Linked DNA regions of Arabidopsis thaliana. The protein of the gene in region 2 interacts with the protein of the main gene of each other region in a pairwise test. Each region holds a gene or a part of one and is shown on either strand. Other genes may lie near its edges.

What was found. Proteins that work in one complex are often made in the same cells at the same time.
Region 1: the proteins of RVE1 (region 2) and HB30 interact in a two-hybrid assay, tested with the Arabidopsis thaliana proteins (one large-scale study listed by BioGRID).

What each region holds. Positions count from the first base shown.
Region 1 is NC_003076.8:4,934,551-4,942,383, forward strand, and holds HB30 (homeobox protein 30), read right to left. Parts: upstream 4,658-7,833; 5' UTR 4,140-4,657; coding exon 3,324-4,139; 3' UTR 2,915-3,323; downstream 1-2,914. Other genes in the region: AT5G15200 (Ribosomal protein S4), read right to left, coding at 574-760, 1,113-1,494, 1,757-1,784; AT5G15220 (Ribosomal protein L27 family protein), read right to left, coding at 6,916-7,158, 7,262-7,386, 7,487-7,583. UniProt on the Arabidopsis thaliana protein: Putative transcription factor.
Region 2 is NC_003076.8:5,689,726-5,696,435, forward strand, and holds RVE1 (Homeodomain-like superfamily protein), read right to left. Parts: upstream 3,268-6,710; 5' UTR 3,200-3,267; coding exon of another isoform or gene 2,975-3,199; 5' UTR 2,711-2,974; coding exon 2,678-2,710; intron 2,266-2,677; coding exon 2,167-2,265; intron 2,086-2,166; coding exon 1,974-2,085; exon of another isoform or gene 1,907-1,973; coding exon of another isoform or gene 1,888-1,906; coding exon 1,826-1,887; intron 1,664-1,825; coding exon 1,349-1,663; intron 1,253-1,348; coding exon 710-1,252; 3' UTR 501-709; downstream 1-500. Other genes in the region: autophagy protein Apg5 family, read right to left, coding at 1-96; AT5G17305 (uncharacterized protein), read left to right, coding at 2,975-3,199. UniProt on the Arabidopsis thaliana protein: Morning-phased transcription factor integrating the circadian clock and auxin pathways. Binds to the evening element (EE) of promoters. Does not act within the central clock, but regulates free auxin levels in a time-of-day specific manner.

The DNA.
Region 1 (7,833 bases), 750 kb from region 2:
TATTCATTTACGTGTCGGAATAGCCGACCGTGCTTGAATCTTTTATGTATAAACAAAATATAAATGGTACTTATAAAACTGTTTTACCATGGTAAGATGGTTTCCACGTAGTTTGCATGTACCACGTGTGAAAACCGAGTGTTGGGGAACCAAATGGCAGTGAGAGTATATTTGTATAATCGCGGACGGTGATATCACTAATATTATTTCAATAGTTGCAAATCATAATGAAAATAGGCCAGACACAGCAAAGTTTATGGGCCAAAGATTTCAATTTGGACCTAACAAATGTATGTAACAAAGGCTATAAAATTGAAGTGCCATACGAAACTAGACAATCAATTTCGCTTAGTATAATTATCTTTTTTAGCATAAATATAAAGATAACTAGAGAGATAAGGCAAAACTTTAAAAGATAATTGTGAGAAATAGATGATAACCCAAAGGTTTAGCAATCTCGAGAGTAAAAGAAAGAAACCATAAAACAATCCTCTGAAAACGAACAACAAAGTTGCTTACTACAAAATATCAAAAAGCAGATTGATTCATAGCTAAAACGGTGCGACTTCAGATTTACTCTTCGTCATCACCGTCTGCATCACCGCCACCTGAGGCTTTCTTGGAGGCAGACTTCTCGTTCCTTCTCTTCACTCTTCCTGGACGGCCACCACCGAAGGGACTGGTGAGGGCAAAGTCAATGTGCTTCTGTGAATCAAGTCTCACCATGAATGATGGAATGTTCACCAATTGCTTTCCAACCCTACAACAACACCCGAAACAAATATGAGTACCCAATTTTTAAGATCATATCAAAACACACTTCATATTAAGCCACTCAAGAGGCACAAGTTATCAAGACTTGCGTGAACTTAAGAGCAACCAATAAAACGTTTGAAGAAAGATCAAACCAAAAGACAGTACAAACTCATGAAAGACTACAATCTGTTAGACCAAAGAGACAGTGTTTAAAGAAGTGTAACACAAAGCCGAATCATTCAAAGATAATCATGAAATGGAAACAGAGAAAATGTTAATTTCATTTCAGATCCTATCAATTGATATAACAAAGATAATTCATACACAAGCACAAATAAATCGAAGAGATGCAATACCTGATATGCCTCTGCCTGATGAGGACACGAGAGTGATGGATAGACTTAGCCATACCAGACTTGAACACAATAGTCTGAAGACGACGCTCAAGAAAGTTCTCAACAGTCAAAGCCAAGACGTAATCGAGCTTGTTCTGGCTCTCATCAAGAAGCCCGTAACGGTTCATCCTACGGAGCAAAGCCTCACCTTCAAAGATCCTTCTTGGACTCTTCTCATCAAGAGTCAAAAGATCTCTAGCAGCATTACGGATACGGCTAAGAGAGTACTGCACTCTCCAGAGCTCACGCTTGTTACGCAGACCATACTCACCAACCAGCTTCAATTCAGAATCAAGACGCTCCTTCTCGTAAGGACGACGTGGTCCCTTGAAGGTCTTTCCATCTATTCAACAACAAACACACACATTCATACAAAATTATCAGCATAAAGGTTAGATCTTTGAGGCTCGTATCTAAGATTGATTCATTTCAGAAACTAAAACCTCAAAAGTTACAACAACCCAGATTCACAATCTATATATATAACACAATCAAAAACCTCAGATAATCCCTAATCTATCATTTGATATTGAGAGAAATCACTACGTAGATCGAATCGAAAATGAGCTGTGATATAAACGACGAAAAGGAGAGAAGAAGCTTACAGTTGCGGTAGTAGCAAACGTGCACCATATTTTCGTCTCCTTACTGCAAATTCGGCGATCTGAATAACTAGGGCACGCAGAGAGGAACGAAAGAGACGAATGAACTAATTTATAGGATTTCTTAAAACCCTAACGCTACACTCTCACTTTCTTTATTGGGCCTTTACGAATTAAGGCTTTATATTGGGCCTTTACGAATTATGGCTTTATATTGGGCCCGTTTTGAGATGTCGATTTATTTTTGAGTCTTGCGCTTGGGCTCGAATTTATTTTCTTAATCATAAAATTATTTTTATGCACTGAATAGTGGTACCTAGAAATGTCATTTGAACAAAAAAAAAAATGTCATTTTACATGTCTTTTGGCATTTAGATTATATCATTAAAAAAGTTGATGAAAAAAAAAAGATTATATCGTAAAAACAAATAATTGCAATATTTTGTTGAGATGTTTTACCAGTCTTGCCTTAATAGAACAGCAAGAATATATTATAAGTGAGTGGTGTCTCCAATCATATTAACCTAACGTAGTGCCTAATCTTACCAACTCTTAGTTGTATCTTTTACCATTTCAACAAATAAACAAACAGGTGTTAACTACTAGCATCGAAAATAAACACACAAAATAGTAACTGTGTTTTCATGTTTTTGAGTTATCTACATATACATTTTTGCAGCCACTATATGAAATAAATCTTCAAGTTGAGACTTATTTACAGTGGTTGTCACTGGCATTTAATAATTATTTTTGATAATTAGAAAGTAAATTTTCGAATTAAATATTTGACATTTAACTATCTTCTCAAAATCTCTCTACAATAACTACACGATTAGTTACTAAAATAAAACTTCTAAAATATTTAACATCATTTAAAAATTACAAAATTATCATTTTTGATATTGCTTTTTTTGCATGACTATAACAATTCCATTATACGCATCAACCCACATAGATATTTTATAGCAGTTAATTATTACAAAATTACAAAATATTTAGACAATGATTTATAAACATATCATAAATAAGATCAACATTAATAAAATAAATAGTTTTTTTTACTTAATAACAATTGTAAACTATAAAATAAAAATATTTTATAGATAGATACAATTTGTAAACTTTTATATATACTAACTTAAAAAAAAAAAAATTGTCCTTGCGGTATACCGCGGGTTAAAAATCTAGTAATGTCACATAATTGCAACAAATTCCCTCATTTCTTTCATAAATTTCTATATAAAGAAAAAAAGTAAAAATAAAAAAGCAAACTGATATAGAATTTAGAAAACAATTGGATTAATTGACTTTGTTATTCGGTTTTAGGAGGTTACTCATTTATCTTTCTTCTCACATTTGGTCGAAAGATACAACTCAAATCACCTCTCTAACAAAGATAAACTACTAACAAGAGTACAAACTACAAGACATAACAAAACAAAGTGGAATAGAAAAAAGATTTTGACCCGTTGACTAAAAATAAAAAATCTTCAAAACACAGAGAAGAAAAACCAAAAAAGAATTAGCCTCTAAAACGACGACGCTTTTTCAACGCTTTCCATTCTTTTCCTCACGTCGAAGAAAACGACCCATTTGTCGGAACAACACTCTGACGACTATCTCCTACTCCTCCTACTACTACTCCGCCGTTAGCTCTTCTAGCGCCGCTGCGTCCTGAAATCTTGTTGTTATGCATCCACACTTTGAAAACGCTTTTATCAACTCCAATCTCCCGACAAAACTCCTTAACCACCACGTCATCAGCTTTCGGCATCCTCCACCCAACTCTCTCCGAGAACTCGAACATCTTCTCCTTCTGATACTGACTAAACTTCGTCCTAAAACGTTTCCTAGACATTGGAACCGCCGTGTTAGCTCCTCCTCTTCCTCCAGAGAGTGCGAGAAGCATGTAAGAAGACGAGATCGGCGGTGGAGAAGCTGAATCATCGTCGTCTGGACTACGAATCCCCGCCAGATGAGGAGGAGGCGGTGGAGGAAGCTGGTGACGGTTGTGAGGTCGAAATTCGATCGCAGGGACGATGGCAGAGAGAGAAGATGGATCCTCCTCACGGCGGTGGAAGTTACGGTGGCAACCACAAGCAGCGCACGTTAGTGAAGCGGGGTCATTGGAGTTAAACGACGGTGACGGCATAAACTCGCCGCATCCGTCTAAAGCGTGACCGCCGATACCTGCTGCGTGATTCTTTAGACATTCTTTATAAGTCGCAACCGCAACCGCTTCAGATGCAAGATGATGGTGGTGGCAGCGTTTGCCGTTTGAGAAAGAAATAGGCTTCGCGGGCTGGATCCGGATCGGAGCTTCGATTTCGGGTTGTCGTGAATCCAAGTCGGATACTATAGTAGTTGTAGTAGCTATTACATCCATGACAACTCAAAACATTTAGGGTTTCGAAAAACAAGAAGAAGAAATGTTTTGTAAACTTGGGTTTTGGTTATTGTAATACAAATAAGATTTAAGAAACAAGAAGTATTATAATTTTCTAGAGATGGAGGAAGAAGAAGAATAGATGATAGAAGTAAAGATAAGGTAAAGATTGCACTAAACAAAACTGTTTTTAAATTGTAAACTCGAAATCTTTGGGATGGGTTTATGTATTTGGGAGAGATAAGATTAGAAAAGGGGAAATTTAAAACTATGTATTATTTACTCAAGTCTCTCATGGAGGAAGAAAGAGATGAGAAGTTGAAGACTGTTGATAATGAGAAATCCAAGTTGTGTGGTTGAGATTCATAATCATTATGTGTTTTTTTTTTTTTGGTTGAATATTTTTTTTTAACCATGGTTTGTTGACCCCATCTAGGGTTAATGAAAAAAGATAAGTGTAATAAATATAGGCTAATAAATAGAGTTCATAGAACAGCATCTAATGTGAGTCATGTCTTTTTCTTTTTGCTAAATTTGTATCTCCATGACGTTGACAACTTTAATAATATATACTCCAATTTTATATCAATATTAATCTTTTTTGCTACCTTTCAAATTTCAATTATTATTATTTCTCGTTATTTTTTTTTATTTTTTTTTCTCCTTATTTAAGCTGAAAATTTCGTGTGGAAGTAAAGCATGAATATAATTAAGGTTGATTCGGGTTGTTGATTCAATGATGTTAACTAAAGACAAAAGTTAATATTTCGTATTGTTGATCAAAAGCAATGTTTATCCAAAAATGTTAAAATCTCGACCTTCCCTAGTTTTATAGTTCATGGTTTGTCTTCAATCTTATGTCGAAAAAACTATCAACTTACAATCTTAAAAGTTACTCTACTACCAAATTTTTGCAAAAAAAACTATGACTAGCTTAATTTATTTACTTCTCAACTACTCCACTAATTAACTCAAAAATGTTTATTGACTATACATGTTGACGGTTAAAGTGGCCTTAAGAAAAGGAGACCACAACTAAAAAAGCTGACACGAGCAGTGGTGAAGAACGATGCCGTTTACTCCAAACTTCTTTAAAGCTGTATAAAAAAGTCTTTAATCAGAGAGGTGTAGACCAAACCTAAGATCGTTTGCAAATCCATTACTAATAATAAGTGATAAACTAACAATTCAAAGCAAAAACTCCATAAATAATTGATAGTATACCAATTTTTTTAGGAGATTTGCTAAAATATGACCGATAAATTTTATCAAAAAATTCAGACAAATTTTATGGAAGTTTTAATTTTGATGCTCTAAATCCAACGGTTGAATTCTCCGTCAAAATTTTGAATTTTAACGGGTTTCTAAAATGTCGTCTGTTTTCTTATAGTAGTAACGTAATTGTAAATCTCAACTCTTAAAACTTTTTCTTTCTTTTGACTAATGATGATATGAAATTGTCTAAATACCAAAAACAGCTAACACGCGTACATATCTTGCAACATGGCGCTACCTAATCAAACCATGTTCGTCTGTTATGGAAGACAATTCTCTTCTTCTCAAATACATTGAACTTTAACATTATACTTTAATTAATGTAGGTATATATTACGACTTGCACGACTTACCATAGCCAAAATAGGGAACCACCGTATCAACATTTCAAGCATTTAGATATAACTTGATTGTTGATTGGTCTTATTGTTACCGCACTACGATTATCTATAGATTTCATAGACAACAAAATAATATAACACATATATTATTGTTTTAGAAATAGTTATAAGGCTTTTTACTCTTTAGTTAGGAAGAATAAGGCAAACCGACATTAAATAAGCTTTATGCCCATAACAAGGATAATATTAATTAGTTTTTTTTTTTCAGGATATATTATCTGACGCAATTATTTGATGATCTATCTGTGATTTTTTCTTTCTTTCTAAAATCTATTATATGTTATGCCTGTATATGTTTTATATATACACATATCCTACTTTATGTATGTGTGCAAATGCAATTGGAAGGATTTATCATATACGATGAATGTATCGCATGGGTGGTTAGTATGCATTAATATGGACTGTTCTTAAGATTTGTGAATAAAGAAAAAAACAATGACATCTTCTTCTTCCTTTTTTTGTGTTATAAACGAAATGATTTTATTTTAATTGTATTGTTTTTGAATAGGAATGTGTAAAATTACAAGAAAATAATAATTCAAAAACTAAATATTGATGTGCATGGCAACTTGAGAAGTATTTGAGGAAACTTTAATGGCTAAAACAAGTTGGCTCTTGATTTCACATTATGCCAAAAACAAAGCTGGTTCGTCCATATATGATAATATGAGAGAAATTTATGTTTGAAATTTTAATTGAAATTTTAAACCCGATAGGATAAATATGTTTCTGATTCAATGAACGGATCTAGCCGCGTTGACGGGCCAGAGCCTGAGGCTTAGAATGTTGGCCCATTATTCGATGAGTTTATAACGGGCCGGGAAAACATTATCTCAGACTGTTACTTGTCTGTTTTGCGTAACACATATGAGAGAAACTCAGACTTGATTAACATCTATTTCCGAATAAAACTTGATTTGTTGAATCCAAACAAAGCCCTTCATCAAAATCCAGACAAAGACTAGAGGGAAACAAAACAGCAGATGTTATTGAATTGAGTGGTTCTGCTCTAAGATAGCATCATCTTTTACTCGAGAGATCACATGATCTAAAGGAAATGAAAACCACGTTTAGATTGTTGCAATCAGTATTCACGACTATGAAGCTGTCTTCAACTTAGTCGATTGAGCAGCTGCAGCTTTTGTGTAGATAGGGTGAAGAACATGACCACCTGTTGGATCAACATGAATCCATTTGCGTCCTGTAATCTTGCTTTTCTCGAACCTGACTCGTCCTTCCTTCAATGCAAACAGAGTATGGTCCTTACCAATCCCCACATAGTCTCCAGGATGAAACCGAGTTCCCCGTTGACGAACTATGATGTTTCCTGGTATCACACTCTGCAAAATCACACACACACACAGGCAAACATTATTTTCTTCACACAGACCAAGACTGATTTGATTATCAAAATCTTATCTCGCTTGTTATTTATTTTCTTACCTCTCCTCCGAATTTCTTAACACCGAGAAACTTGGGATTAGAGTCACGACCGTTCTTTGTAGAACCAGCAGTTTTCTTAGTAGCCCAACGCTTGAAGACCAAACTCAAGCCACTTGAAGAACCATCTTTAACATCCCCAAAACAAGAACAACAGCAACAATTACACAAATGAGTTAACTAGTTAAGATCATCAAAATATAGATTTTGAAAAGCGCAAATCTATACCGGAAATGCTACTGCCACTATAAGCAGGAACCTCAGTGATCAGTTCCCTCAAACTAACTCTTCTGCAAATGGATGCTGCTGAGTTTAAGAAATTCATTTTTTTCAGGAATCTGCAAGCAACAAAGAGCAATTCAAACATTAATCATTCAAGTAGAATCAAATCAATACTATACAAACCATTTCATCAAATCTTCTCGAGCAAATGGAGTTTTTTCATTCACACTCGAAACTCCACCATTGTCACAAACGTATTAACCTATTGACCTCAAAACCAATTACATTTCCGATCCGATTCCAACTCTCGAATGATACGGTAATAAGAAAGGAGGATACTTACCGGAAAATTT
Region 2 (6,710 bases):
AGGAGGAGCAGGGTGAGAAGCGACGTCGGATTTGTGGAGATGAATCTGCAGAGGAATTGCTCCTTCCCATACATACTTGACCGCTTCCTTCGCCATTCTCTTCCCCGTCACACCTTCTCACGCTCGCTCGCTTCACAAAAAAAACTCAGCTTTCAAAACGACGCTGTTTCTGTATGACGTCATCTTCTCTTGCGTCTTTATGTGGTATTAATAAGGCGTACGTTAGACACTGCTTAATCTGTTGGTGGCTAACGTGAAAGGGTGTTAACCGGTCTAATTTGGTCTGGTCAAATTCTATCAAAATTTCAGGTTAGAGTTGGTTTCCGAATCGGTTCGGTTATTTGTTGGGTTTGAACTTTGAACACACACTTGTTCAGTTGGTGGTAACCTCACTGTTTTTCTTCTTTGCCTTCATTTCAAAGCAAACTCTTTACCAAACCTAATTTAATCGGAGATATTGAAGAGAGACACCTGAAACTTGCTTTTGTTGAACCATCAATTAAGAAAGATCTCATAATCATTAGATTTAACTGTATAAATTGTACACGAGTTTTACAGTTACAAACTTTTGCAGAAAATTTTAGCCTAGAGAACAAACACCTCAAGAGAAAACAATGAAACAACAACAAAAATTACATTGATGAAAACTTAGAAAGTCGAATGAATAGTAAATTTAAAGTCTCTTCTTTAGGGTACGTAAGAAAATGTGTTATAAGTGGAGATGAATCTCATGCTCTTCTTCTTCTGTTACCATCTTTCTCTTCTTGTATGGACCAAATCCTCTTGAATTTGACTCGGAGTTTGTTCTTCTGAGCTCAGAAAATGCAGACCTCTCACTTGGTTTAAACTCCCATTGACATAGCATTGTTTCGGGTTCTGTGGTCTTTTCCGTGTGTCCCGTATCATCCACCGAACCAGTGTTTGATCCAGTCGATGATCCTTCGTTTTGGACAGCCTTTCCTGAATCCAAACATCTATTTTCCACATCTTCTTGCTTAAGAGGGACTTGTATCCAGCAGCTCAAGAGTTCTTCTTGTGAGTTTCTTATTATGGGTAGTGTCTTGGATGATGAGAGTTTCCGTGGTAATGGCTGAATTGGGGATTTACAATATGTTGAAGTTGTTAGAGAAGAGGACATGCCTGAATCAGATACCAAAACTGTCTTCCCAAAGAGTTTAAGACTTTGCTTCGTTGGTTCCTTGATCGAGCTCTCCCTGTTTAAGAGTCTCTCACTAGGAAACAACTCCAGCTTCTGTACAAATTGATTAAACCAAGAATATTAAGCATTAAGCATCTAACAGCAGGTATTGCTGTTAAGTATAAATTCGGTTTTGTTTATGTCAAGTACCAGAGTCTCAAGCTCTTCAGGTGCATTTGCAGTGGTTGTAAGAGCAGCTGGTGGTGATGCAGAAGAAACTGGGGACAAGCTTCGATTGGGTGAACTCGAATCAAGGGAACACAATGCTTCTGATCCAACAGTGGACAACACAGAGGTTGGAGATTGAGTATCACGTTCTGAGGGAGAAACCGATCTACTTGTTTGATCTGCCTCGTTCCCAAACTTACGAGGGTACGGATGCGCTGGCTTTCTCTTGGGACGAGGAGGAGGTATTACAATCGGCTCTACTGAGCTCCCATCACCTCCAGTTGCTTCTCGAGCAACCTGTGTGAATACAACAGAACAAAGCCAAGTCAGAACACAAGTCTCCAAACAATGTATGTATAATGATTCCTTATTTATGCAGAACTTAGGTTTGCTACAGAGATTAGACTGATACTTTCTTTGAACAAGGGTAAAGATATAATAGCAAATAAGTGTATAAACCTTAGAGAAAAACTTCTGAGCATGGCTTCGAATCTGAACTGCGGTCTTTGAGCCCACATGTTCTGTTAGTGAAACAAACATATATTTTTGAGGGTCCAGGTAAGGCCATAACTCAGTAGCAAGAGATATTACTAAATCATTAATTTACCTTCTATTCGTCTCCAAGCTCGCCCGTATAATTTCAAGGCTTCAACAAACTTCTTGTGCTCTTCATCTGTCCATCTCTCTCTCTCTTTTGTTATCGTGTATGGCTTCCGTACCTAAGTAAGAAAAGATGAACTGAGCCACAGATCTTCACTTTACATAACAATATTTGACATTTGATGTTAAAAGAAACAAACCTTGGGTGCATAGTCATTTCCCCCAAAACTTTGGTCATTGAATTGTATCTGCTTGTCTGCAGTTTCTTCATCTCTATTCCTCAAAGAAGCGTTGGTACCCTAAAGCCATCATCAAGCAAAACGACTTTAGGAAACATCATTTTAAGGACTATGACACAAAGTGGCATTGGATTATTTACTTTCTTCTTCAGTTTCTCAATGAACATTCATTCACAAAGTCCAACTAATTAAACTCGATTTACATATCCTAATCACAAAATTCCAACACAGTCGATTCCATCTCAAGGATTCAAATGAATGTAGTTGCAACACACAAATCTAGAGAGAACTTATAGCTCAAAAGAAACAAGAGTCTGCAAATGAATTGCAACGAACTTGCTTTAACTCTAAGCTTTATTACTTAAATGTCCGTATACAGTATTTTAAACTCATAGATTCATTTGAGACCAGACCTGAATAAAGCAGAAACAAAACAAAAAAAGTGGATAAAAATCAAATTTTGAGACCAGACCTGAACATTTGCAGTCAACGGAGACGACGCCATAACTTCCCGGATTAAGATCTCGGCGGAGGAAAACAAAAAAAAACTCGAAAGGTGTGGAACACAGAAAAGGAAACACCAAGATAAATTCGCGAATCTAGACTTGAAAAAATCAGCTTAATTTCCTCTGTTCTCCGTCTGTTTCTATAGATCCCATAAATTGATTCGGTTTACTTAGGCAACAACAAACGATTTGCTTCTGAAATCAGAACCAATCTAAGCTTCCACCTTCCGGAAAAAAAACTTCCAGCAAACCAGAGATTTCTTATGTTCGATAAAGGAAAAGAGAAAAAAACTCTCGCTGGAAATCTTGCCGCAAATAAGGATAAGAAGAAGGTCGGAAATGAAACTCTCAGAGAAACTCCGAGAAGTTTTGGTAGCCGGAGTAAAGAAAAAGACAAGCTTTCTGATTCGGCGGAAGAAGAAGAAAACAGAGAGAAAGAAGAAGAAGAGAAGAGTTTGGGGTCTGTGAAGGAGGAAGAAGGGAATTAGGGGGGTGAGAAAATAGGGAAGACAAAAAGGAGGGTGATGCCACGTCAGCTTCTGCTATGTGCGCTTTTTCCCAATTTTTAAAAAATAAAAATAATAATTCTTATTGGTTTTCCATGGAACGCTCGAGAAACAGATGGAAAATCTTGTGGCTCACGTTCAATGTCCATCTTTGCCACGTGTCGCTCTTTCTCATATTCTTCATCTTCTTTTTTTGCAACAAAATTTGTACTAGATTTATTCATTTATCTCTTTGAAAAATCAAATATTTAATTTTTTAAAATGAATCTACTTGTTTTAAAACAGTTAGATTTGGTACTTCGATTATCACTGTATGTATTTATTTAATTCCCCTACTTTTCCTTTCCTTTTTTGACATCATTTCAATTGGATAATCTTTTAATATAAAATATCAGGAAATATAATATTTATGTAACAAAAAAGATTTTGCTGGACGGAGAAATGTGAGCCACCAGAAGATACTTTTAAAGGAAAATATGGAAAGGCGTACTCTCGAGAGTATGACTTCTTAGCTTACTCGCTTTTCATTGGTTCCACTACATGAGATAAAAATGTAAATTTGCGGGATAAATTCATTTTCTTTTCTTAACTATATCTCTATTGATCCATATATGGGTGGACATATTCCAAAATTTATGATTGGTTCTTTGGATCCGGATCCATAGGATTTGTTTGCGGAACCATCCAAATCCATATCTATCAAAAATACTTCAAAATAATTAAAACAGTAATATATAAAACTATAATAAATAAAAAGTTAAAAATATATTTTGATTTATTTACATAAACTCTTTATGAAAATATTTATTAGGGTATTTTAAAAAGCTACATATGAAAACATATCCGAAGTGGATATCTTAATCAAAATCAAATTATTCGAATTCGAAAACTCTTAACATTTTATTTTTGGACCAGATCAGAAGATTTTATTATACACTTTGTCCAATCTTAGAAAACATAGTCTATCCATTTTTTATTTTGTGGGGTTCTACTCTTTTTTCTCCATTCTTCCATATATGAACACAATATTTGATAGTAAATTTATATATAAATTATAACCATCATAATATCTAAATTCAGATTTTAAAAAAGATTTCTGTCTAAACACATTTTTGCAGGACACTAAAATGGTTTATTTTATGAAATGAGATCCACAAAATGGGTTATTCAAATTTGGACTGATATTAAGATTTGTTGATGATGCTTCTATACTAGCAATAGCAAGCCTCATACAAATGCAATTGATAACGTATCCTACCATGATTCCGATATACATATAAAATTTGGACCTCTAAATTTTCCTATATTCTTTTTCATGTCAAACTTATATGTTTAGTTGGGAAAAATATTGCACAGAATTTTACATAGTTGAAATGGTTTTGAATCACAATCTAAATAAATGAAATTCCAAAATCAAGTGAAAGTAGAATGAGATACTATTTTTGGTTCTTTTTCGTTTTGTCGTTGTCTTTGTTTCATATTTTACGAAAAAACGAAAACCATAAGTTAAATATCTTCTGCCTCTATATAAAAACATGGTGGGGGTCTATCCATAACGTAAGTCTACGTATACATACCATATAATATAATATATACAGATACGAATCTATCTATGATATTTATAATTAGTTTCAACTTTCTCGAATTAATATGATTATCCATCGTCCAGGTCGTCATCAATTTTCACAAATGTGTAGATATTTTATTGAAATCATTGTTAAGCACATAATTTAATATACTCCTCAAATTGTAAAAGTCATCCTCGGTGGAAGTGAAAGTAATTACACTTTAATTTATAATATAGTACTAATACTAATAATTAGTGAATGTCAGTGCACTTTTCTCCATGTCACTGATTCTTATTTTAGCCGTCTGTTCTACAGAAACTTGACATGTGGAATGACGAGAAGGAGGGTTCTAGCCACTAGTTTTCTTTTTATTTGTTTCTTATTCATTTTATTCACGTTCACTGATAATACAACAAAATTTCTCAGCCACAAGAATTCCTTCTCGTTCTTTACTTAGGGTTTCAAATATCAGAAAGTGGTTGGTGTGTGGCTGTTGTCTACTTAGAGTATTTGTTTTTGTCATCTCTTATAAAAATATTTGTTATTACCATATTTTCTAATGCAATAAAATCCAAACCTGTAGTGGAAATCACATTTATCTAATGTAACAATCATTAGTGAAAAGAAAATCCAAATTTTTTAAAAACAGATGAGAACATGTTCAAAAAATATTTAAGCGATTAGGATTTAGGAGGCGTAAGACGTGAAAAAGATAAAATAACAGATAACAATTCAGGTGTCGAAACGAAGTGTTAAAAAAACCTTTTAGGTCATTTGAGGAGTTTATGGTTAGGCTTGGTGGTGCTGGATGTTAGGTACTGGTCTACTGGATTGTGTGAAGTGACACGTGACAACCATTGTGATATTTTCCCTTTTCTTCACCACCATCCATTTATTTTTAAGCCAAAGTTTATATAATCTCAATTATATACATGTAATTATATATAGTTTTTTTTTGCCAAAATGTTTTCTTATTATTTGAGAAGAAACAAAAAGATTTGGTTTATTATAAATAAGATTTTTGTTTTTAAATGAAGCTGTCTATGTAATTTCAATTTTGTAAACACATGTTATTCATTCATTCTCAAATGTAACTTCAATGTTGTAGACATTTACAAGACATGTTATATTAATCATGTATTGCAAATAGATTTACATTAAGATAAGTATACAAATATTGTGATATCGATGTAACCTATTTTTTTGGATTGAGAACATTCAAATAAATAAATAAATAAATAAAATAGAAGAAATTAAACAAATATATATCACGGTTGTAATATTTTTGAAAGTGTTGATCATTTTTAAATAACCACAAAATACTATTGTTTTCCTATAACTCAAATCTGTTGGCCAATTCAACCTAATTAGAATTGCAAAATTTCACATGTAGCCATGTTAGTACAAATTCATTCGAAATGTGACTTTGGCATGAGTAGGAAAAAGATAAGAGATTTTACGAATCAATTATTTTAGTGAAGAGAAAAAGAATTGATGGGTGGGTCTACATATATAGTTTGGATAGATAATCCCTTTCTATAAGCTTCTACGTATGTTATGTGGTTCATATTTCTCGCCAACATGTTTTTGCCGCTTTATAGCCAAACGGGATAACAAAATAAATGAAGAAGCAGATATTCTTTTGAGATAAAGGTCTCTCTCTGACTTTGTGAAAATCAGTGTGAATGGTTCTATCTAACAAAAGAGATTGAAAAGATATGTGGTGTACAAAAAAGCCAGACCGGTGATCCTATTCATGGACCAACCGTATTAATTATGTCTCATTCATGATTATCTTCATATTTTCTTATCTTTTTGGATTTTGAGTTGTACAAGTGGTCAAACCATTTGGGACAATTGGCGCAATATGGTACAAGTACTATTGAATGAAACAAGTGGTTGGAACACAAAAACATATGATATTG